Linked DNA regions of Caenorhabditis elegans. The protein of the gene in region 2 interacts with the protein of the main gene of each other region in a pairwise test. Each region holds a gene or a part of one and is shown on either strand. Other genes may lie near its edges.

Evidence for each region. The genes of interacting proteins can lie anywhere in the genome.
Region 1: the proteins of gei-18 (region 2) and cbpl-1 interact in a two-hybrid assay, tested with the Caenorhabditis elegans proteins (one large-scale study listed by BioGRID).
Region 3: the proteins of gei-18 (region 2) and affl-2 interact in a two-hybrid assay, tested with the Caenorhabditis elegans proteins (one large-scale study listed by BioGRID).

The regions. Positions count from the first base shown.
Region 1 is NC_003282.8:7,900,780-7,908,221, reverse strand, and holds cbpl-1 (Cortactin-binding protein-2 N-terminal domain-containing protein), read right to left. Parts: upstream 4,483-7,442; 5' UTR 4,446-4,482; coding exon 4,392-4,445; intron 4,202-4,391; coding exon 3,839-4,201; intron 3,784-3,838; coding exon 3,710-3,783; intron 3,624-3,709; coding exon 3,355-3,623; intron 3,308-3,354; coding exon 3,078-3,307; intron 2,797-3,077; coding exon 2,573-2,796; intron 2,482-2,572; coding exon 2,294-2,481; intron 2,188-2,293; coding exon 2,026-2,187; intron 1,440-2,025; coding exon 1,345-1,439; 3' UTR 1,127-1,344; downstream 1-1,126. Other genes in the region: npp-27 (C3HC-type domain-containing protein), read left to right, coding at 1-43, 501-593; arp-11 (Actin-related protein 10), read left to right, coding at 5,951-6,138, 6,182-6,392, 6,553-6,717, 6,767-6,945.
Region 2 is NC_003282.8:13,980,028-13,985,791, reverse strand, and holds gei-18 (GEX Interacting protein), read left to right. Parts: upstream 1-3,266; 5' UTR 3,267-3,268; coding exon 3,269-3,326; intron 3,327-3,562; coding exon 3,563-3,667; intron 3,668-3,728; coding exon 3,729-3,898; intron 3,899-3,955; coding exon 3,956-4,253; intron 4,254-4,315; exon of another isoform or gene 4,316-4,336; intron 4,337-4,377; coding exon 4,378-4,570; intron 4,571-4,614; coding exon 4,615-4,705; 3' UTR 4,706-4,730; downstream 4,731-5,764. Other genes in the region: tor-1 (Torsin), read left to right, coding at 99-159, 354-537, 591-1,278; tor-2 (Torsin), read left to right, coding at 1,932-1,992, 2,187-2,370, 2,421-3,108.
Region 3 is NC_003281.10:431,713-441,268, reverse strand, and holds affl-2 (AF4/FMR2 C-terminal homology domain-containing protein), read right to left. Parts: upstream 6,379-9,556; 5' UTR 6,359-6,378; coding exon 6,301-6,358; intron 6,235-6,300; coding exon 6,158-6,234; intron 5,400-6,157; coding exon 5,126-5,399; intron 4,651-5,125; coding exon 4,545-4,650; intron 4,444-4,544; coding exon 3,743-4,443; intron 3,140-3,742; coding exon 2,911-3,139; intron 2,861-2,910; coding exon 2,731-2,860; intron 2,571-2,730; coding exon 2,319-2,570; intron 2,012-2,318; coding exon 1,875-2,011; intron 1,698-1,874; coding exon 1,439-1,697; 3' UTR 1,127-1,438; downstream 1-1,126. Other genes in the region: affl-1 (AFF-Like homolog), read right to left, coding at 48-111, 496-706, 941-949.

The sequences.
Region 1 (7,442 bases), 6.1 Mb from region 2:
TCTCAACACTGTCCTCAACACAAAAAATCATGTGACTAACCGAGTAAGTGCTCGCTAATATAATTACTTGAAAACTTTCATTTTTGCAATCCAAAAATTAAACAAATCAGCACTATTTGGCTTCTGTAGCGCTATAGCAGACATTATGACTGAGATCGTTCCGAGACCCATTTGAAAAATAGCGTGTATCTTAAAACGACATTCCCAAATATCGCGAAATTACGATATGATAAAAAATTTTTGAAATTGAAAAAAATATAGAAAAAAAAACTTGATTAGTTTGGAAATAAAATTTATTTTTATTGAAAAACTTGAAAACAATATCAAAAACTACTTGAAACATGCCATTTATGAAAGTAATGGTGTATAAATTTTGTCGGCAAATGATTTCTACATTTATTTTAATCTTAAAAAGTTTTGTAAATTGGCCGAGGAGATTCGCCGCCAACACCTATACTAAACTTGAAAAATTAAAAATTTTATTTTTTTCGTAATTTCAGTACACTGGGTCATCGATCTTCAAAGAAGCATACGCGGCTCGACGTCTTCTCGACAGTTCACTTTCTACAATCATCACACCAAATTATATTTGATGCTTTTTTCCAATTTTCTTTCGTGTTTTGTCCCGCGACATCTTCATCCAGTGCCTCTTATGAATCGTCTAGTTCTTTCTTATTTTTTGCCTTATTTTCAGTTGGCTCCAACCCATCCAACCAGTCATCTCACTCTTTTTGCACTTTCCAGGGCCCCAAATCTTTTTCGATCACATTTTTTTCTTTTGCCTCACATTCGGAACACTTTGATTTTAATATAATAGTTTAAAGAATGATATTCTTGACAAATTCGCATCCATCAATATTAGTAGAACATGCTCATCATGAAATACCCCTTTTCCTTATTGGAAAATCGACCATAGACGGGTCCATATCGTCTTTTCATTCTATTTCCCCCTCCTCATTTGTGCCCTACTTGTACTATTCATTCGTGAAAATAGACTTTGTTTTTTTAAAACGAAAATATTACAAGTCCTCGCTCGTTCCTCTACCACTAGGCTTCAATCATTTCACGGATCTTTTCTGACTTTTATAAACTAGATTTCGTCTTTTTTTTAAATGAACAATATATCTCGAATTTAATATTTTCATTATACGTGCAATATTTAATTTGATCTGATTTTACACGAAATGAAAACTATAAACAAACAAGTAAGAAAATGATGAAAAGTGCGATAAAACATTGTAAGAAAATTGAGCAAAAACTGAAAGAATGAGAGAATCGTAATACCCATGAATGTTTGTTAGGTAGAAGTGCAGATAGGTAAGTTAAGATTTTGAATATAAAATATCATTTCGATGATCCAAACGCTTTTGCGAGAATTCCGTTCCGCTTTACAGTTCCAGAAAGTTTTCGTTCACTTGCCACGTTTGACGAAGGTCCGGCTGAAAAAAGAAACATATTAAAACAGAATAAGTAATGTAGGAGTTAAGAAATGTAGATATTAAAATTTATTTTTATTCATTTTCGTATTATCCGGATGCGAAATTTTCAGATTTTCGCGCTAAAAATACGGTCCCGGTCTCGAAACGAAAACTGTCTGCTAAAAAAGGAGGGTATGCTCTTTTAGCGAGTACTGTGAGTTCAAACTTGTGTGGCTGCGGAATTTTCATAGATTTTTCATAGGGTTCCGATAAAAATAAACTTATTAAAAAACCAGTTTTTAAAACACATAAATTTTAACAAATCTAGAAAAAAACGTTTGAAGAACCGATGAAACTCCCGCAGAAAGTTTAAAACTGCAGTAGTTTTTAAAGTCAGACACAATTTGCATTCATATTCCACCTACAAAGACTGAATGATTTTGTTTTCTAAATGGAAATTTCCCAATACCGAAAACCAAAAACAATACTCTTGAGCGCAAAACTACAAGTGATTGCATAGTTACTACTGTCTTTCAGCTCTTTCAAGGTAACTGCCATCTTGAAAAAAAAAACGAGAAAACACAAGTCTATAACTACAAAAACATGCCAATTCTAGTGCTAACGACTCCCGTCGTAGATGTGTGCATTCCACCGTTCATCGTGCTTCTACGGATTGGAGCTCCTGGTGGATTGTTATTTGCTTCTCTCGGAAGACTTGAACTCCGTTTGGCCATGGCAGTTGAATATGCGGGGGGACTGGCGGTAACAACTGAAGAATGACATAACTACGAAAAGACTAACACAATAATATAAAGCCTTGCCAAATTAAATAAGAATGTGCAGAAAGTTTTGAAAAATCAAAGAAAAAAACGTACCATTCATAGATTGTATGGCAGCCTCCAGCTGTTCGAGATCAGGCGACAGTGGCATCACAGCAGATGTATTTGTTATAACTGAGGTAGTTGGCATTGTAGTAGTTGCTGCGGACTGAGGGCGTCGGACTGCTGTGGAGGAAACACCCATAACTGGTGTCTTTTTCACTGGCGAACTCATTGTGCGAGGTCTGAAAGTTTTCATGGTACTGTAATTTGTTTGAGTTTGGCAGATTGCAGTGACATAGCAATATCAAAATTGATTGTAGTCAGAAATCTTACACATTAGAACTAGATGCCGGCAAACTTCCAATACTCATTCGAGGGACCGGTGTTGTTACAGCTGGAGGTGGAGCTCTTGGAAGTCGACTCTTTTCAGTTGGAAATGTTGCTGAATTTGGAAGACGAGCTACAGGAGGAGGAGCTGGCTGTTGTCTATTAACTGCTGGTTTTGCACCTCGATTCGCCATTATTAGGGATCCTGTGTCGGGTGGAAGTTGAGGTAGCTGCAATAACATAAAATATGAAATGCGGAAATTCCATAACTTGTTTTGAGAGCTAAATTTTGCTAATCATGAGTGCAATCAACTATGTGAAGGTTGTCTTATTATGTTCAACTGATAAAAGAAAATGCAGATGGGAAATATCATGTAATAAGTAAAAAGTTACAACTTTTTTGCATTTGTCAAGAGCTAATTTAAAACAATTCTTTTGACATTTAGAGACATCGATAAACCAAATTTCTATGACCGTTTCAGGAAAATTGAAAATTTGAAACAAAACTCACTACATTCCCAGGCTTATCAATTGACATTTTTGCTCCAGTTAACGTCAGATTCCGTCGAAGCATCTGAAGATCGGCTTCTTGTCCACGAACTGTTTCTCGAAGGCTCAGATTTTCAGTTTTCACCATTTTCTGAGTTTTTGTGAGCGATTCCCGTTCTGCTCGTAAAAACGTGACTTCTTTTTTCAGCTCCTCAATAAGCTCGCGTTCACTTAACGCTGATGATGGACCAGCTGAAAGTTTTATTGAACTAAAAAAACTTATTTTGCAGTTAACTCACGTTTGGTAGGATCATTTTGATTTTGAAGCATAATTTGTTCGGCTTTCACTCTTAATTCGTGCATTTTTAAAAGCATTTGTTTGCGTTCTTGTATCAAATACAAAACGATTGATTCGTGACGTTTTTTCTCATTTCCAAGTGTCATTTCCATTTTATCCTTTGCGATTTCGGCTTTGCGTTTCTCCTCAATATGAAATTCAATTTGTTGTTGAAGTTGATTTCGTTCTTTTTCCAAGTGAGCGACCAAATCATCTCCTTGTTTCGCGTACCTAAAGATTTGTTCTAAATTTTAGGCGTATGAGTCGAGTTATAATGTTTATTAAGGTATTTTCTTATTTCGTAATATATAACTCACCTTATTTTAGCTTCTCTATCCGCCTCCAACTTTTTCACGAGTTTATATTGCTTCTTCTCCAGCGCAACCAACAGCTGAAAACTTTTTTGATTGGTGTAAATAGAGGGAGCTGCACAAAAATTTAATTACCACAGCCGCATTTCTTTGCGATTGCTTTTGCACTGCCATCATCTTATCCAACTGATCCACTTGTGACTCGTACATTTGAACAATCTTCTCTTCATCAATCTGTTCGCCAGTAATTGCCGAATCTCGTCGCAACGCAGCAAATGGATCGTTCATATTTAGTTTTCCATATTTAGCTTCGGATAGTAGAATTTTCGTTCTTTCACGTTTCAGATGATCAATGACATCTTCTCTTGCTTGAACTTCACCTTCCATGAACGAGAGCAATTTCATCAGTTCATCACTTGAGAAATCGTTAACCCCCTGCTCTTCGGGAAGATTGTCATATTCGGGCTGAACCTTTCGAATAGACGGAAGTACCAATTTCTGAACATTGTAGAAGTTTTTGGTTAATTACTGATAAATTATATATTTTCAAAACTTTGGGTGTGGCTCAATCACTCGGAAAATGAGCGTTAATTTGCAATCTTAGAATAATTTGAGACTGTGAATATTAAAAATTAGAGTATACAAACTTTGCTTACAATTTTATGTTCCTTGTGGAATTAAAACTCACTTTTGATGTTGATTGAAAAGTTGGATCAAAACTGTCATCGAGTAAATTTGGCATCGTGAAAGAAACACGGCAAACGCCGTGAAGCAGAAGTCTGGAAAAATTATTTTTGAAACGTTTTCGAAATTTCTGGAGAAAAAAACACGAAGTCGATGCAGAAGAAGAAAAAGCAGACGTTGAACGTGGATAAACTGAAGAACTAGAGACCGAGGGATATAGAGAAAGGGATTCAAGTGTGTAACTTCGTGTGCTTCTATTTCACAGTGATTGCTTGAAGAGGTGGAGACGCAGACGAAATGTTGTCATTCCCTATGCCTTGCGACCGGGCTCTCACATGTCGAGAGCAGGGCTCTACTGGCTCCGCTCCAAGTGATGACACTTGGTTCGTTTTGAACGATATCTATTGCAAGGAACTTTTATGTTAAGAGAGAAGATCCGTTCGAATAACGATATAGCAAAAAGTTCAAATGAACTTTGTAAAGGTGACCTACACAATCAGATGTTATCGAGAAAAATCTAAACATCTTGTTCAGCCATTTTAACTGGGTTGTTTTCACCATGAAAAAACACGGTGGTGATGCTGAGCTTAAGTACACTGTTTGTTGAAGATGACCAGCAACGAAAAAAGCAAACAAGGCGGAGGAGAATGTTTGCCAGAGTCTGGTAGTTTTTCTAGTAAGAATCCATAATTGCAAAAAAGGAAATCATATCCCAAATAGTTGAATATTGAAAGACGCAAATTTTATATCTCCAAAATTTAGGATTCCTAAACGAGTCAAACATTTTTTCTATTTAGCCTTCCAGATATTGAAAATAATAAACAGGAATTTTCCTCAAATCTGGATGAAGATCGATGGTTATTTTGAAAAATTAGTACGCAAAAAGAGATTTCGAGTCAGAGAAATGGATACAACTAATCTAAACCTGCAATCGATGATGTCTCTCTCATTAAAAATCAAAGTTAACCTATTTTAGTTCACTATCAAGCAACAAATCCTTTAATAAAAAGATTACTGTAATTACGCGAAATGATAAAAACTTATAAAAAGTGATAAAATAATTATTTAAACTGGCGGTAAACGAGAAAGCGATAAGAAAATGTCTGGTGACGTCACTCAGAGTCGCAAAAACTTTGCGCGTAATATACTGCGCGCGGTACGCAATAGAAGATACATGGTGTTTGCACACGTATACGGTAAGCGCTCAATTGAGAACGACTTTTTTGTTTTAATGTTTTATCAAGATTTTACTTTAATTAGACGAATCAATCATTATTTATTGTGCCACATTCGTAATTACTCCTTTCTTTTTAAGATTAAATCATCTTAAAATCAATATTGTAGTGTTCAAACTGGCATCAACTGCTCAATCAACGTTGGAGTCGCTGAAGGCGGCTCGACGGAGTTCGTCGGGAGTTTCAAATCAATCAATCTCGCTTTCATCGACAACTTTATCTCAAGCTATCAGTTCAATCGATAATGGAAAAAGTGCAGTTGTGGTTGAGATTGGAAGCAAGTTAACGAAGTTTGAGTTCCACTGTTCTTAAATTTCATAATTTTACTATGTTTAGAATTGGATGTGCCGGAGAAATAACACCTCGACATATTATCCGAACAGAATACGTCGATGATGAAGGAAAATTGATAACTTCTGATGAATTATTAGCTCTAAACAATCGGAAGACTGCTACAAAGTCCACCGAGTACTACGAAGAAATTCTCTATAAATTCTTGAGGATTGTATTTTTAAAGTGAGCCTCTCTGGCCTCGATTAACTTAAAGCTTGGATTTTAGAGTTTTGGCTCCCACTGACCGTCCAGTGATATTTGTGGAAAGCATTTTCATGTCAGAATCCCTCCGCAATACCATCACCAAAATTGTTGTCGAAAAGATTCGTTGCAAATCTCTAATGTTCATGCCATCTCATGTTTGTGCCACATTTCCATTCAATACTCAAAATGCTCTCGTTGTCGATATTGGACATTCAGAATGTATCGCAGTTCCAGTTAGTTCTTATTTTTAATTTTTGAAGAGCATAAGAAAATATTTCTAGAAAAAAATCAACAAAAGAGTAATTTTTTACCATCTACAATTTTAAACAGTTAAATTTTTTTTAGAAATTCAAATTTCTATTTATGATTTATTGCAAATTGTATTTTTTTCAGATTATCGAAGGTGTGACAATGCTGAATGAGTTCGAATCAGCTCGCTCGATTTGTGGCCGACAACTTGAACGAAGAGTTCGGGAGCAAATGGAGAAATATGGTCAAATTGCAGAATTAAATGGAGAGAGACGAGCAATTACAGAAAACGATTGGCAAGATATTGATGTAAATATCTAAAACTTGAAAAAACTCAATAACTGAAGATATGTTTTAGGCGTGTAAACTTATCGAAACGCTTAGTTTATCACTCATTTGTCTGGATAAGGAACGGGCCGAAAATTGGACAAAATGGGAAGCGTCAGAAGAAGGAGAAAAACCGGATATTGAGACACTTTGCAAAGAAAGACTATTTCCGAATAATGGAAAAATATTTGTAGTTCCTCCAGTTGTATTGTAAGTTTTAAAAGTTTTTTCTTACCAGAAGTTTAAAAATTGAATGTGTTGGCAAACGTTATCAAATATCATGGAAAACTGCAATTTTTTGTTTAAAAAATGTTTATTCACAGACAAAAAGCGACATAAATTATGTTCGTACCATTTTTTCGTGAAAACTAAAGCAATGTCGCAATTTAGAGCCTCCCTCCTGACTGTTTTAATATAAATATTTTAGAACAAAAATTGGAAAAATTACTTTTGATCGACGACATCCAAAAAAGCTACGCTTCGCTTGCTTCGCTTTTTGCGTTGCTTCGCTTTTTGACTGAATAAACAAAATCCAACATTTTTTGAAAAGTTTTCCTATTATATTTCGTCATATTAGCAACAGAGAAGTTTCTAAAATTACTTATTTCTCGTAGTTAAAAAGTAAATTTTTTTAAAAACTCCTTCTATGATATCATGAAATCTGCCACCTACAGTAATCCAAACAATTTTTATTATGCTCCCTATAT
Region 2 (5,764 bases):
ATACATCAAAATTATTTCTGACCTATTTTTGCATTTTTGTGATGAGAATTTATGTTTTATTGTTGATTCTTTTTCCAATCGGCAGTTTATCACTGCCAATGTTTTTAAAATGGTTATTTTGCACATGCTGTTTTGAAACGGATATATTCGATTATCTTAGTGAGTATAAGATACAATTTGAACAAATTAGACTCTTCCGGTGGAAAAAGTGAATACTTAAAATATTTACGCACCTTTTAAGCTTGAATGAGACAGTTTGTACTTTTGTAAAAAAAAGCCAAAAGAAAATCTGTATTGAAAATTTGAAAGAACTCCCTTTTTGAGTTAGTACTTGTTATAGTTTCCCATTTCAGAGCTACACAGAGATCTTTCTAGATTTATTTATGGCCAGCATTTGGTAATAGATACTGTGGTTCGTTCAATCAAATCTCACTGGCATAATGAGCATCCTCAGAAACCGTTAGTTCTCTCATTTCATGGTGGGCCGGGTACTGGAAAGAACTATGTGACTGAAATCATCGCAAAAAACACTTTTCGGTAATTGTTCAAGATTTTGCATACTTTCTGAAAAAAATGCATTAGTGTTTCAGAAGTGGACTTCAAAGCCCATATGTGAAGTATTTTGTTGCAACAAAGGATTTTCCAAACAACAAACATATAGAGGATTATAAATTGAAACTAAAAGAACAACTAATACAATCTGCCGACGGATGTGATCGATCCATTTTCGTGTTTGATGAGGTGGATAAATTACAAAGTGAACTGGTTCAAACAATCAAACCTTTTCTTGATTTTTATCCAGCCGTTTTTGAAGTTGACTTTCGAAAAACTACCTTCATTTTTCTAAGCAACAAAGGAAGCTCTGAAATTGCGAACATTGCATTGGAACATCGTCGAAATCTTAAAAAACGGTCACAACTCGAGTTGAAGCATTTTGAACGAACACTTATGTCACATGCATTCAATGAGAAAGGTGGTCTACGAAACACTGAATTGATCTCTAATCAGCTTATTGATCATTATATCCCATTTCTTCCCTTATCTAAGTTCTACGTTTCCCAGTGCATTCAAGTACATCTTCGAAAACGCGGAAGACATGATTTGGCAAAGGATGGAGAATTCATGCAAAGAGTTCTCGATTCTCTTGAATTTTTCCCTGAATCTAGCAAGGTATTTTCCTCGTCAGGATGTAAACGTGTAGATGCAAAAACTGAACTAGAAATTTCCAAGATGGGATTCTCACTCAATTCGGAGAAAGAGTTTAATGATGAGTTGTAGTTTTTTTTCTGTTTCAAAATGTCCAGAAATTTGTTTTCATTCTAAGTGTTTAATTTTTTTGTTGATTTAGCAACATTTACAAAATTGAATGAACTCAATGATGAGTTGTAAATATTTCCCCTGTTTCAAATTGTCCATAACTACGTTTTTATTGTATTCATTTTATTATTTAATTTTGCGAGTAGAAAATGATTTTGAACCAGATACTTTTACCTCCACCAGGTACTCCACCTTTCATAAGTTAATTAGTTTTTATTATCTTTGCATTAAGCTTGAACTGTAGTAACTGCTCAAAATAAAATTGAATTGGTACAAAAATGTTTTTGAATAAAATCAGCCCTTTTGAAATGAAAAAGTTCGCTGAAAAATGGTTTCTATTGAAATTTAAATTCTATGTTCAATGTTTCTTTATCTTCAAATTTCGTTATCAGTGCATCAATCTATTTTTCGGTGTGATTTCTCATGGATATTTTGATGTTAGCAAGAATACGCAGATAACAAGCGACATCTTCTGTTCCATTTCATTTTCCTTTACTTCTCACTTGTCAAATATTTTGTTTTATTCTGAAAGAAAGATGCAATTTTTTAAATATATTATTTTCGTTATCATTCTTAATCAATTAGTCGTCGATGTCCACAGCTTATCAATGCCAATGTTTTTAAAATGTTTATTTTACACTTGCTGCGGTGAAACGGATATATTCAATTATCATGGTGAGTAGCAATATTTTAAGAAATTCAGTCAAAATTCAGAACACCATGCAAATTGTTTCTAATGTAAAACACAGCTATATACAAATTTTGAGTTGTGCTCCGTGATAAGGAGCATTTTTCGCACTTTTTTTTTTGATACTTTTGAAAGAAAAACCGTTTATTTTTTAAATATTTTTCTAAACTTTACATTTCAGCGTTATACAAAGATTTCGATAATAAAATTTTCGGGCAGCACTTGATGGCAGAATCTGTAGTTCATTCAATCAAATCTCATTGGCACAATGAGCATTCTCAGAAGCCGCTAGTTCTCTCATTTCACGGCGGAACCGGCACTGGAAAGAATTATGTGACTGAAATTATTGTGAACAATACTTATCGGTAACTTTTCATTGCTTAAAATTTTTTTGAGAAACAAGTTTATGTTTTAGAAGTGGAATGCACAGCCCATTTGTGAATTATTTCGTTGCAACAAATAATTTTCCGAATAAAAAGTATATTGAGGATTATAAATTGGAACTGAAAGATCAACTTATAAGATCGGCCCGAAGATGTCAGCGATCTATTTTTATATTTGATGAGACGGATAAGCTACAAAGTGAATTGATTCAAGTGATCAAACCATTTCTTGATTATTATCCGGCGGTCTTTGGAGTGGACTTTCGGAAAACTATCTTCATTTTTCTAAGCAACAAAGGGAGCAAAGAAATTGCTAATATCGCATTAGAACATCATGAAAATGGTAAAATAAGATCACAACTCGAGTTGAAGCATTTTGAACGAACACTGATGCTTTCTGCATTCAATGAAGAAGGTGGTCTTCGTAACACTGATATGATCTCTAATCAACTTATTGATCATTTTATACCATTTCTTCCCTTATCTAAGTTCTACGTTTCCCAGTGCATTCAAGTACATCTTCGAAAACGCGGAAGACATGATTTGGCAAAGGATGGAGAATTCATGCAAAGAGTTCTTGATTCTCTTGAATTTTTCCCTGAATCTAGCAAAATATTTTCCTCGTCAGGATGTAAACGTGTGAATGCAAAGACTGATCTCGAAATTTCCAAGATGGGATTCTCACTCAATTCGAAGAAAGAGTTTAATGATGAGTTGTGAAAGTATTTTCTCCTGTTTCAAGATGTTGATAAATTTGTGTTCAATATTTTTTATGGTTCGGTGTTCTCTAAGGCTTTAAGTGGTTTGAAGTTCCAAATACTTATTAATTTGTTAATTTATGCATGTTTTTCTTTTTTTTAAATATCATTATCATCCTCAGATGACTCCGCGGAAAAATAGTGGAACGATGGGAATGGAATTCAACAAGAAAACTCAGTGTGAGTTTTTAAAGTTTGTAGAACGCCAAAAAATTTTGTTTTCTTTAATTTTTTAGGCAAATTTAGAATAAATTAAAAAATTGTAAACTTATGCAAAATTAGATTCTAAAATAGGTAGCAATATGTACACAAAAAAGATAGCAAAAAACGTAACGCCTGCTGTAGGTAAGGCCTATCTAAAAATCTACCTACAATGTAATCCGTAGTTTTCTATTCAGAAATGTAACGATTTCCAGATTATTCGCAATGCCAATTCTGCACTTTGAAAATTTGGTCAAACACGGAAATTGTTCTTGCTGGTGGAAATGTAATTTGCAATTTGTGCATTGCCGAAAAAAGCCGTGAGTTTTTTCCCCTAAAAGTCCAGAAATGTAACTATTAACAATATACATGCTACTTCAGATGCCGTTCAATTCGACAGAAAATATATGATCAAAACATTATCAAAGACATTTTCAAGAAAGTGGGAAATCTCGAATAATTTAATAATGACACTGCTGATTCTTTTGCTCTCTGCACTTTTTTTTATATCTCAAGGAACTTTTTCAATGCTTCAAAATGAACCAAACCAGGTTTGATTTTTCCACATAACTTTGTTCCTTTCGACAAATAAATTTGCTTATTTACAGGATCGAAACCCCTACCAAAACTACATAGAATCAGTAAGATCCTTTGTCAATTCGGATTTCTCAGATATTTCAAAAGAAAATCGGAATCTTTTGAGATTAATTGGTGAACAAATGTTTTTACATCCAGATGAACATGCTCCGCTTGTCATAGTTATTGCTGGTTTGAAAGCTAATGAGTTTTCTGAAAAATTAAACAAGGCAATTCAAAATTCTAAATCAGAGACAAATTCAAATAATTTACCAATTGAAATTGGAAATCAACTTGAAAGAGGAGAGCTACATGCAATATTGAACAATGGTTAGTTTTTTTTTAACTGTTTCACCAAGTTCATTAATTTTGGGCATTTTTGACACTTACGTTATATAGTTGTAAATGTATTTTTCCGAAAATCTCTTGAAATTTATTTCACTTACCACTTTAGCTCTCGCATCACAAATGACACCTAGAACAGCAGTCCTGACAAATATTGATCTTCTTGCATGGGATGCAGTTTTAGTGCTCCATGCCTTTGCGGACCATGGAACTTTTCCCATCCCAAAAACTGTACTCCTCCTAGCAGTATCAACAGAAGAAACTACTTATTCTGGGAATAGTTGTGATGGGAAAATTTTGAAGTAAGTGATTTTTATTTTTAAAATAAAAAGCAATTAAATTCCAGGCTTGTAACGAACCGCTGGATCGAAAATGGAGGAAACTATGACAATATTCCACCAATTGTAGCCAGGATTTCATATTTTATGTGCTTATAATAAAAATTATTTGTTTAAAAATTTAGTTTTTGTTTACTTGGAAATTGTGAAAAAATATGGAATTTTTAAACTTGGTTACTGCAATTTTGTTCACCGGGAAAAATTACTGTTTCAAAAGATTTGTTTAATTGAAAATCCTCATGTTTATTTGGTTCCTTTATATTAAAATTTTGATTAGAAAAATATTATTCACGAGAAAACAAAACAAGTTTTTAAGTGTTTCTGTGAAAATTTAGGGCAGATCAAGTGTAGATCACACAAAATTTTAGGGAAAATCTATAGAAATGCACATTTAAATGTGAAATTAGAAGAAGATATAATATGATCTACGTGTGATCTACTCAAATTTTTCTCAGAAACGCTCAAAACCAAAGGCTGACCGCGCGACAAAACGATTTTGAAAAAAAGTCCTCTTCGAACTCAGAGAATTTAAAATTTAAACTATATTTTGTAAACAAAAACAATTCTTTTTCCTGTTTGTTTTTTTCATCATAACTTTTTATCAGTTTTTCCGTTTATCAATTTAGGGTTCAGTTTACGAAAAAAATAAAAATATTTACATCAATTTTAAAGCCTTTTTCTTCAAAAAACTCGTATTCATTGATGACATTTTCGGTTCCTCATTATTAGTTTTTTTTTGCAGTTTTTTTCGGCATTTTCTTCCTCGATTTAATTCCCTCAATTTTGTGTGCACACAAGTGCTTTTTTTTGTGTGCGTGTTTGTTGTGTCTTGCCCCCTCCTCATCCCGTTGCGTCTCCTCAAAACATGACAAGTAGTTGAACGATAGAGCGAACTTGCATCTTTCGATTTCTCGGCTGGTGGGGCGGGCGACGTCGCAGCAGCACGTCTTCTTCTCGATGAGAATATCGATTTTTCATATCCCAACACGCACTTTTCATGTTTCAATTGTGATGGCTTTTCATTGAAATAATCCTTTTTTTACAACTGGGGTTTTTAGCTAAAAATTGGGAATTTTTGAAAAAAAGAAAATTTCACAAAATTGGTCTCTGGCTGGTCTATCGCTTACTAATTGTTTATTTTATAAAAATATTGTTTAG
Region 3 (9,556 bases), on a different chromosome or scaffold from region 2:
CCTGAGACCACGCTACCTATCGCCACCCCTAGCCTACTACAACTTACCCTGTTGCAGACTTCTTACTGGTATTGGGGGAAACAGAGGAGAATGGAGTCAGTGAGAGGCTTTCTGAAAATATAAAGATTTCGATGCTTGAGCGGCAAAGGATCGCCGGTTCCTGAGCATTTGACATGCATGTAGCTAGCTTCGGATTTTGTCGCCCCTCGCACTTTGGACCAAGACCCTGTGCCCTAGACCCAGGGTGCGTGGGGGCCTTTGCGGCTCGGTAAGATGTGAATGGTAAAATTTAACTTTCCGAGGAGAAAATGCTGTCTATTTAAGTTTGCAAAATTAGGCCTGCAACTTGCTCAGACTTTTCATATTTTTCAGTAATTAGGAGCAATGCCGGCGCTGAAAAAAACCACGCCAGGACTAAAAATAGGCAAACTCAGAAGTTTACTGTCATGTAAAGTACAGTTGAAAACAAAACAGTCGGTCAGTTCACTGACTTACCATAACTAGACTTCTCATCTTCCATCCAATTCCACCTGTCAGAGGATGGTGAGGTAGCCGTTGAATCATCTTGTAGGTCCTCAAATCTTCGAGGAAGCTGGCTCAATGGTTTAGTTCCCACGAGGCCGGCCATTTCTTCAAGCATTCTACGGGTACGGAGACAACCCACGGGGCTCAATGAACGTGAAGTATGCGGAAGTTTTGGTTTGCCCTGGAATTTGAGTTATGGGTAGATTACCTATGCCGCATAAAAGTACTGAAACTCGGGAATTTATTTAAAGGTTGGTCAAAGTTGGGAGCATGATATAAGGACTAAATTTTTGTAGGGACCTATTTGAAAATTTGCAGCATATCTGATATTCTGGCAATTGACCGAAATCCTGATCGCCAGAAATGAAAGAATCCCAAAAATACAAGAAATCCTCAGATTGCTGCTCAAACTCACCGATTTCATATTCGGGTGCTGCTCGGCAAAAGATAACAACAAAGCCTGGGAAAATGTAGAATAGGAGAAGAAGAAAAAGTGCGCGCGGGTATCCAATGTGTCAAAGTCCCACCGGAGTTCTCACCCGACCCCCGTTGCTATGTGCCGTCTCTTGATCAGGTGTGGGGGCACTCCATAATTAAAATTCAAATAATGTATCTTCATATGAAACAGGAGAGAAAGAGTGAAATAGTAATAATTAAAATTGGAAAATGTATACACTCATAAGTCTCAGTGTGACTAGAGAGGAGAACTGGAAAGAGCATGGAATACACAAAGAGAACCGTGATAATAAGTATGGGAACCGGCCTAGAAAAAACAAATGAGGGGAAAAATAACGGTCCGTGCAGCTTGGTAGTGTCTAGGCCTAAGCCTAAACTAGCCCAAAGCTCAAATGCACAAGACAACCGTGATATCAAGTATGGGGGGGGGGGACCAGCCTAGAAAAAAAAGACAAAATTATTGCTTCCGACGAGCTTTTCCATCGGGAGTGTTATTTGACGGGCGGTGCACTGGAGGTGGCCTATCAGAATGAAAAGTTCCCGTCCTGATTGCCAAGTCCAGGCCCTTCTTGACTTTTGCCAGAATTGGCTTTGCCGGCTGCTTCTGCTCCTCCTCGTACTCGGCCTTCAGGCTTCCGACGGCGGTGAGCACAAATGTGGCAAGATCGGCGAATTGCATGTCCATTGAGATGGATTTTCCGACGATAGATTCAACGCTGAAAAATTTAAAATTATATTTAAAAACTGTGGTTAGTCTTGGTTAAGCCGTTATTACAAATTTTCTAATATTTTCAACATGAACCAAAATGTGAGCAAAATGAGCTGGCTCTATCAAAAATTATCAACTGACAAAAAATAACTAACATAACACTTTCTATCATATTGTCACTTACTCTTTGACAAAAGTTCCTGAATCGATAATATTTGACAGAGTTTTCGAGTCTTCCCAATATCTACTGGCCAACATCAACCCGTTGGCAGTTTTGAGCTGCGATTTGTAGGCATCGTAGACAATTTGGGGCATTGAGACCTGGAAAATCAACTTTTTAGAAAAAAAATTTGGGACATGGTCACAGAAAAAATTTCAAAATCCATGTTTTTTTTCATAAAAATTAACATACTTTTGATAAAGCAAAAGTTTAAGCTTAGGCTTAGGTTTAGTCTTAGTCCCTGGGCTTGTGCTCAGTCCTAAGCTTAGTCCTAAGCCTAAGCCTTAGCTTAGTCCCAGTTTATCTTTTTGAAGACTTTTTAAAAACATTTCCTACTATTTTTATCCGATTTTATTGATTTCCTCTGCAAAAAAATCAAAAAAATTGTCTACTTCCACAAAACCTTACCATATTCTGACAAGCCTGAATGCTGGCGATCCATGGGATTACAGGTGCCCCAGTTGGACCAGATGGTGTCGATCCGGCGGACGGGGATGGTTTGGGGGTCCCGTGAGCCACTGACGTCACCGCTTTGTTTGTGGGGACTGTTAGATGCTGAGAATGAACTGACGAGGAGTCGGATGCACGGGACACCGGTCGAATGTCGATGGATTCGGAGACTTCTCGCATGTCCAATCGTGACATTGTTTTTATTGCTTGCTAGAATTTCGAATTTGGAATTTAGAATTTAGAATTTAGAATATTAGTGTTGATAAATCGGATTTTTTTTCAGAACCTGAATTTTCAGATTTTCAGAATTTCTCCAGTTCAGAGTGCTTGTATACTTTTGAAGTTTTATTTTAAGGAAAAAAAAACATACCTCTGATCTAAAAATATACATCTGATACTGCATCACAGCTAGCATCACCTGACCGATCACTTTGACACGTGGCAAAATGTGAACCGCCAGGGAATCGTCGGTGTCGCGGACACCTTGAAACACGGCGACTCTGAAATTATTCATCAATTTTTAAAAAATCCCAAAGTCCCAGAAACTAACCCTAGAAGCTCATAAGTGTCCCGATAGATCGAAGCGCATTGCATTTTGGATTGAGTTGTCCGCTCCTTGTCAGCTTTCCAGATGGCTTCAAGTACAAAAAATACACTGGAGAGCATGTAGTTGAGGGGACGAGTCACACGATCCTTGCTATTGTCGGCTTTTGACTTCCAGTCCTTTGCCAAAGCATGATAGAACTCTCCTTTTGTCTTGGTGGAGGTTGATGAAGGGTCTGAAAAATGTAACTGGGTTTGGAGGAAAATATCTTGGTTCAATTTGAAAATATTGATAGATTTATAACTGGAAATATGTAGAAAAAGAAACCATAAATATTTTGTCAGTTGAAAATTTTTTGATAAACCTAAAGCGAGCCGAGGTATAAACTGTAAAAGTTAAGACAGACATGGTACATCGACAAAACAGGAAAACGTCGTAATATTTTGTCTCTGTTAATATTGGTTAAATCGAAAAATAAATGTTTTAACCTGACATGGTGCATCGATTGGAAGTTAGACGCTACGTTCCCAATTTTGACTTTCGTTACTCCGAAGCCTGAGCCATAGCCTAAGCCTAAGCCTGAGCCTGAGCCTAAGTTGAAGCCCACGCCTATGCCAAAGTCTAAGCCTATTGTTAAGAATGAGTCTAAGACTAATCCTAACCCTGAGCCTAAGCTAAGGCCTAAGCCTATTCCTAAGCCTAATCCTAAGGCAAAGCCCAAGCCTAAGGCAACGCCAAAGCCTAAGCCTGAGCCTAAGTATAGGCCAAAGCCTAAGCCTAAGCCAAAGCCTATGCCTAAGCCTAAGACTAAACCTAAATCTAAGAAGTAGGTACTCACCTGGAAACGGAACTCGCTGGGCTTTTTTCAATCTCGCATGTGACCACTGGCACACAAATCTCGGCTTTACTGCCGCCGATGCTTCTGCTGGCGCCGACGTGGTTGCCACTGCGGCCACCTCCGTTTCCACATGGCTGTGAGTAGACAGAGCAGATGGGGGCCTTGATGGTACCGATGGAGTGGTTGATCGGATGTTTCTTGGTGATGGGCTCATCGTTCGACTGGAACCTTGAAGCCCTTGAAGACTCTGAACCGTTTTGTTGGCGGGTTTTTGTGGCGGCAGTGGAGAATTCCGAGCGGATCCGGATCCTGGGCCAAGTATTGGGTCTCTAGAAGGTGTGGGTACCGCAGGGACCGCTGGAACCGATGGGGGCCTTGGTGGAGGTGGAAGAGGTTCCAGAACTCTCTTTTCCTGTTTTTCAACCACTTTCTCCACAACCTTCTTCTCAACTTCCACAACATCCGTCAGCTTCCCTCGGGTCTTCGCAAGCTCAATGAGCTTCTGCACCCGTTCTGGCTTCAGAGCCTTTATCCGAAGAGTACCCAAGAGTTTGGGCTCCGGTGTGGACTCCCGAGATGTCGAGGCAGCTGATACTGAACTGTCCGATGGGAATTTGGATGAAGAGGGTCCTGGTTGCTCATCTTCCTTGCACACCACTTTGAAGTCTTTCGGAAGCGGCGAGAGTTTCGGAGTGTCCAGTCTGAAATTTTAGATTTTTATATGTACTGAATATTCAAATACAATTTTTGTAGGTATTCATATGTGGCTATGTTATGGCTGCTAGGCTGACCCAAAACCTACGTTTTCATGATACTGAGCATCGCAGCCACCTCATCAGAATTCGGCTCCTCGATCATATCACTTTCGGTGGAGTGAGTACCCGAATCCGGTGTTGAAGGGGGAATGTCTGGAAAATTTATTATTTTTTCAAATACAAATATTTTCAATAAATTCAAACTTCCGTTTATTTCTGAAACCGCTTGTGACGTCACACAGTATATAAATAATTTTCCAGCCAATTTTGTAGATCAATTTTCACGCCAAAAATATTTTTATTAAAAGCCAACTATTTCAAAAAATAAAATTTTCACTTCAAATTTCCCGCCAAACTTATATTTGCACATGGTGCCAGGCTGTCCCACTACGGTTTGATCTACAAAAAAATGCGGGAATTTTTTCAACCATGCGAAATCAGTTGAGAACTCTGCGTCTCTCCACCCGCATTTTTTTAGATCTACGTAGATCAAGCCGAATTGAGACACTCTGACGCCACGTGTATTTGTGAAACACGTGTGACGCTACATACTGCTAATGGAATTTTCCCGCAATTTTGCGTAGGTCAAACTTTCCGTCCATTGTTTTTTTCCACAAAAAAAACTTACAATTCCTGGATTCCTTTTTCCGTTTCACTTCAATCTGACTATCCTCATCTTCTCCAATTTTTCGTTTTTTATCCGTTGATGACGTGGCACTGCTCTTCACATTATTCATTCCTTTTTTCAAATCAGCAAATTCATGATGTGTAATCTCAGTGATTCTCTCATCAACCAGATTTTTCATACTTTGAAGCGCCACGTGGACAGGCACATGACTTGGCGATTCGTGGGGCGGAGCTTGTAACGTGACAAATGGAGATGGGCGGGGCTTCATTTTAGACTGGAAAAATGTTTTTGAAAAAAAGGTTTTTCGAAAAAAAATCCCTGCTGATTTTTACCAAAAATTGGAAAACTCATGTAAAAAAACGTTTTGAATACCTATATTTAAGTAGAATTCTGCAAAAATTCACACAATTTTGAGACAACTGGAAATTTAACGGGAAAATTTCGAAATAAAGTTTTTTTTTTTAATTTGGAAATTTTTGATATATTTTTTACGTTAAATTTAGTTATAAATTTATTTTTTGAAGCACACGTTAAAATACATTTTTTATGTTAGCTGTACAAAAATTCCAAATCGGCATATTGCCGGTTTGCCAACTTGCCGGAAATTTTCAATTCCGGCAAATTGCCAATTTGCCGATTTGCCGGAAATTGACGATTTGCCGTTTGCCAGATATCAGATTTGCCGGAAATGTCTAGAGAGATTTTTTCACACGGCAACACTTAAAACTTGTCATTTAGAATTTTTCCTTTTTTTCTATGTAGATATTTTCATAGAAATTGCTTACTTTTCAAAATAGATGCAGAAGCATTCATAGGATGCGTTTAATTTTGTAATTTGAAATTGAAATTCGGAAATTTCCAAAAAAATAATTGCAAAACCTTTTTTTCGAAAATTTCCGGCAAGTTCGGCAAATCGACTATTTGCCGGTTTGCCGGAAAGTAATTTTTTCCAACTAACAACATATTTTAATCATTTTTTCTTTATTTTGTATAATTTAACATTTTTTTATATCTTCCAAAAAAAATGCTCACCCTGATCAACCCGTGCCGTGAAGTCTGCTGATTCTTTGCTACCCGATCATGAAACTCTTCAAATGGGCCAAGCCATTCTGTAATTGACAATTTTAAGTTTTATTTCTTTTTTTTTTTTTGACTTCCCAACAAATAAGACTTACCACATAAGCTGCGTCGAATTTTCCCATTGAAATCGTCTTCCCGTGAGTCTTCTTCCATTAAATATGTGTAAGGTTTACCTGCAATAAGAAGTTTTTTTTTTGTTTTCAAAAATGCAAGCCAAATCCCAAGCTTAGGATATAGGCCTAAACTAGGCCAAAGCCCAAATGCCGTAAAAAGTTAAAAACAAACGGAACATTTTTCCTTTGTAGGAAGAAAAATCGATTTTCAACCCAAGAATCCAAGGAAAACATTTTTTAAACTAATTACGCTAACCCGCTAACAAGAAAAGTAAGAAAAAGCAAATCTTCTAAAAACAAAAGTATCAAATGTCTGTCTTGTGGGGGTACTAATTAGGACACATACAGAGACATCTCCATGCCCGGCGGTTGCCTATCTTTCCCCTCTTTCTCTGCGTATCTTCTCTCTCACGCACTCTCTCGTTGAAAGGTGAATGGGGGGAGGGGGAGGTGTGTAAGTGTTAGCTGTATAAGGGAAATAAAGAGATTAGGCGACAGTTACGTTAACTGAGAGAGAAATGAGAGATCAAAAATTGGATGAAGAATTACAGTAATCCAAGTTTAAAGACGCATGAAGAATGGCAAATTTCACACTAACAAAGTTAACAGTTTCAATATTTCAAGTATCATCTTGCTTATTTCTGGTTTTCTCGAAAAATTATCGAATTATAGTTTAAAAATTAATTAAGATAGGTCAAAGTTGCCAAATAATAAGAGTTTCAATTTTCAAACGATGCACCATGTCTGTCCTAACTTTGACAGTTTTTTTAAAAATTGTCAACTAACAAAATATTCGTTTCAAATTACTTAGTATTCTTTAAAAAGAACCAAGATTTTTTGTCGATGCACCATGTCTGCCAAACTAGTTATTGTTGGTTTTTTTTTCAAAAAATTATTTATTGTTGAATTTAAAAAAATTTTATAGCTAATCTATAACAAAAACCAATTTTTAATTTTAATTTTTTTTAAAGTCGAACTAATTTAGTTTTTTTGAGAAATTTTGAACAACTTGCATTTTTTTTAAATTTCCCCCATTTTTAGAGAGGATTTTTTCAAATGTAGCATAAGCCGAAATTTGAAAAAAAAGTTTAGATCATGGGAAAAATAATAAATTACACAGAAAAAAACCCAATTTTTTTTTCAAATTTTAGGTAATAATTCAATTTTTGCTTAAATATACTCAAAATTACATCAAATGACCGTATTTTATGATGAAATTTTTCAAAAGAAAATCCATAATTTTCTTAATTTAAATATTAAAAAAACTTGTCAAATAAAATAACTGCTTGGTTTTTCAACAAAAAAAAACATCCTAATTTATAATAATTTTTTGTAAATCATTTGAGGTAGAAAAACACGATTAATTCAAATTCTAAGGAATTTACCGTGAATTTAACTGAAAATTAGTCATTAACAAGGAAAATTTCAAATCTAGTGTAAATCTAGTTTTTGTAAATTTTTATGCAAAAACTCAAATTGGAATATATCAGTCGAAGCTTTAAAAAAAGCGCAATTTCATAGAGCCAGAAAATATAAGAGTATTCAAAGTTTTTCAAAAAATCTCTCCTAATCCCAAATGAACAACAAAAAATATATCAAGAAAATCGTCTTCATCTTGTTCTTCTCAATTTCGTACGCTTCTTCGTCCGATATACACACTCACAGTTTTGTACGCAATAATAATCGAGAAAAGACAGCAAAAAAAAAGAGACAGTGGTTGAAAACGGGGGGAGGCACAAGAGACAGAGAGAATAGAGACGGCTGGGCGAAATCGGCGCACCCGGGGGCAGGTTTAGCACTGGTCGAGAGAGAGAGAGAGAGAGAGAGAGAGAGAGAGAGAGAGAGAGAGAGAGAGAGGAGTAGTGTGTAGAGACGCAGACGCTTCAGTGGTGTTCCGCGAGAAGTGTTAGGGGGGGATGGGGTAGTAGTTGAGGAAATCGAGGAGGAGGACAGGAAAATGAGAAAACCTTTATTATTCACATACTGTTTTGTTTTACTCCATGTCATAGTACCGGAAGTTATCTCACGTGGTAGATCAAATTTACCAAACTCCTCGAGTTTTTAAAGTTGAGGTTTTTGATTTTTCAGTACCAGATTTTTTTAGCTTAGACGTAATCAATCACGATTTATAATTTTTTTTAAGCATTTGTTAATTTCCGGCAAATTTCTAAGTTTGCCGAATAACTTTGGTTCCTGGAATTTTCTTACTTTTTAAAAAATTCTTATTTTTAACATGCCTCTTTTCTAAGGGGTTTTAACAATTTTTTTCAGCTTCATTTCGAATTCCTGTTCCAAAGTAGAACTGAATGAGATAATATACCCACACACCTTGTTCCAGGCTGTCCCATTGTGGTTTGATCTACAAAAAATGCGGGATTTTTTCGCCCAAAAAAATTTGACGTCAGCACGTTCTTAGCCATGCGAAATCAGTTGAGTACTCTGCCGCATTTTTTGTAGATCTACGTAGATCAAAACGAAATGAGTCACTCTGACACCACGTGCCACAAAAGGGAGATCACCTTCAAACTTCAGTTGGTACTCATTTAACAATCTCCAACCATTTTCGTGTTCCTAGGTCGGTGCAAATACATAACCATATTTCTTTTTGCTAGACTAATTTTTGAGGTCCCTATAAGTTTGGGTCCAAGTGTCAGAGGTACATAAATGAGGGTGCATTAAAATTCAAGGCACATCGAGCTTTTGTTTTTAAACATTTTTATAACTTTTTTCTAGCGTCTTTTTGAGCATTTTTGGTTTCTCTACATATAATTCCACATTAAACAGCTAAGCTGGCAACAAGCCAGCGTAGGCCCAACAAAAGAAAACTTGTTCGGCCCAAGTTTGATCTCACTGACTTCTGAAGTTCAGAATCTAAACCAAGCTACATACCTTTTATGCCAAATGTAAGAAATCGCCGGAATATCTCTACGGTAGTACCACTACAGTAGTATCTTGGAGTTAATCTTAACTAATTTTTGTTCAAAAAGCTCACAATTTTTCCACTTCGATAAACTTACAAGAGTTTGTAAGTGGTTATGGTGTAATAAACTTTTTCTACAATCCTGAATCAATAGCTCCGAGGTCCGCGAAATTTGTGATATTTCCAAAATTAAAATAGGATCCATGATATTTGTTGCCATTTTACTTTTTTTCTGAGATTTCTGCTTCAACTTTAGATTTTTCCGTTCAACTTTATATGTAGAGTAAAAATTTTTATTCGGTGTAAACAAAAAAATTC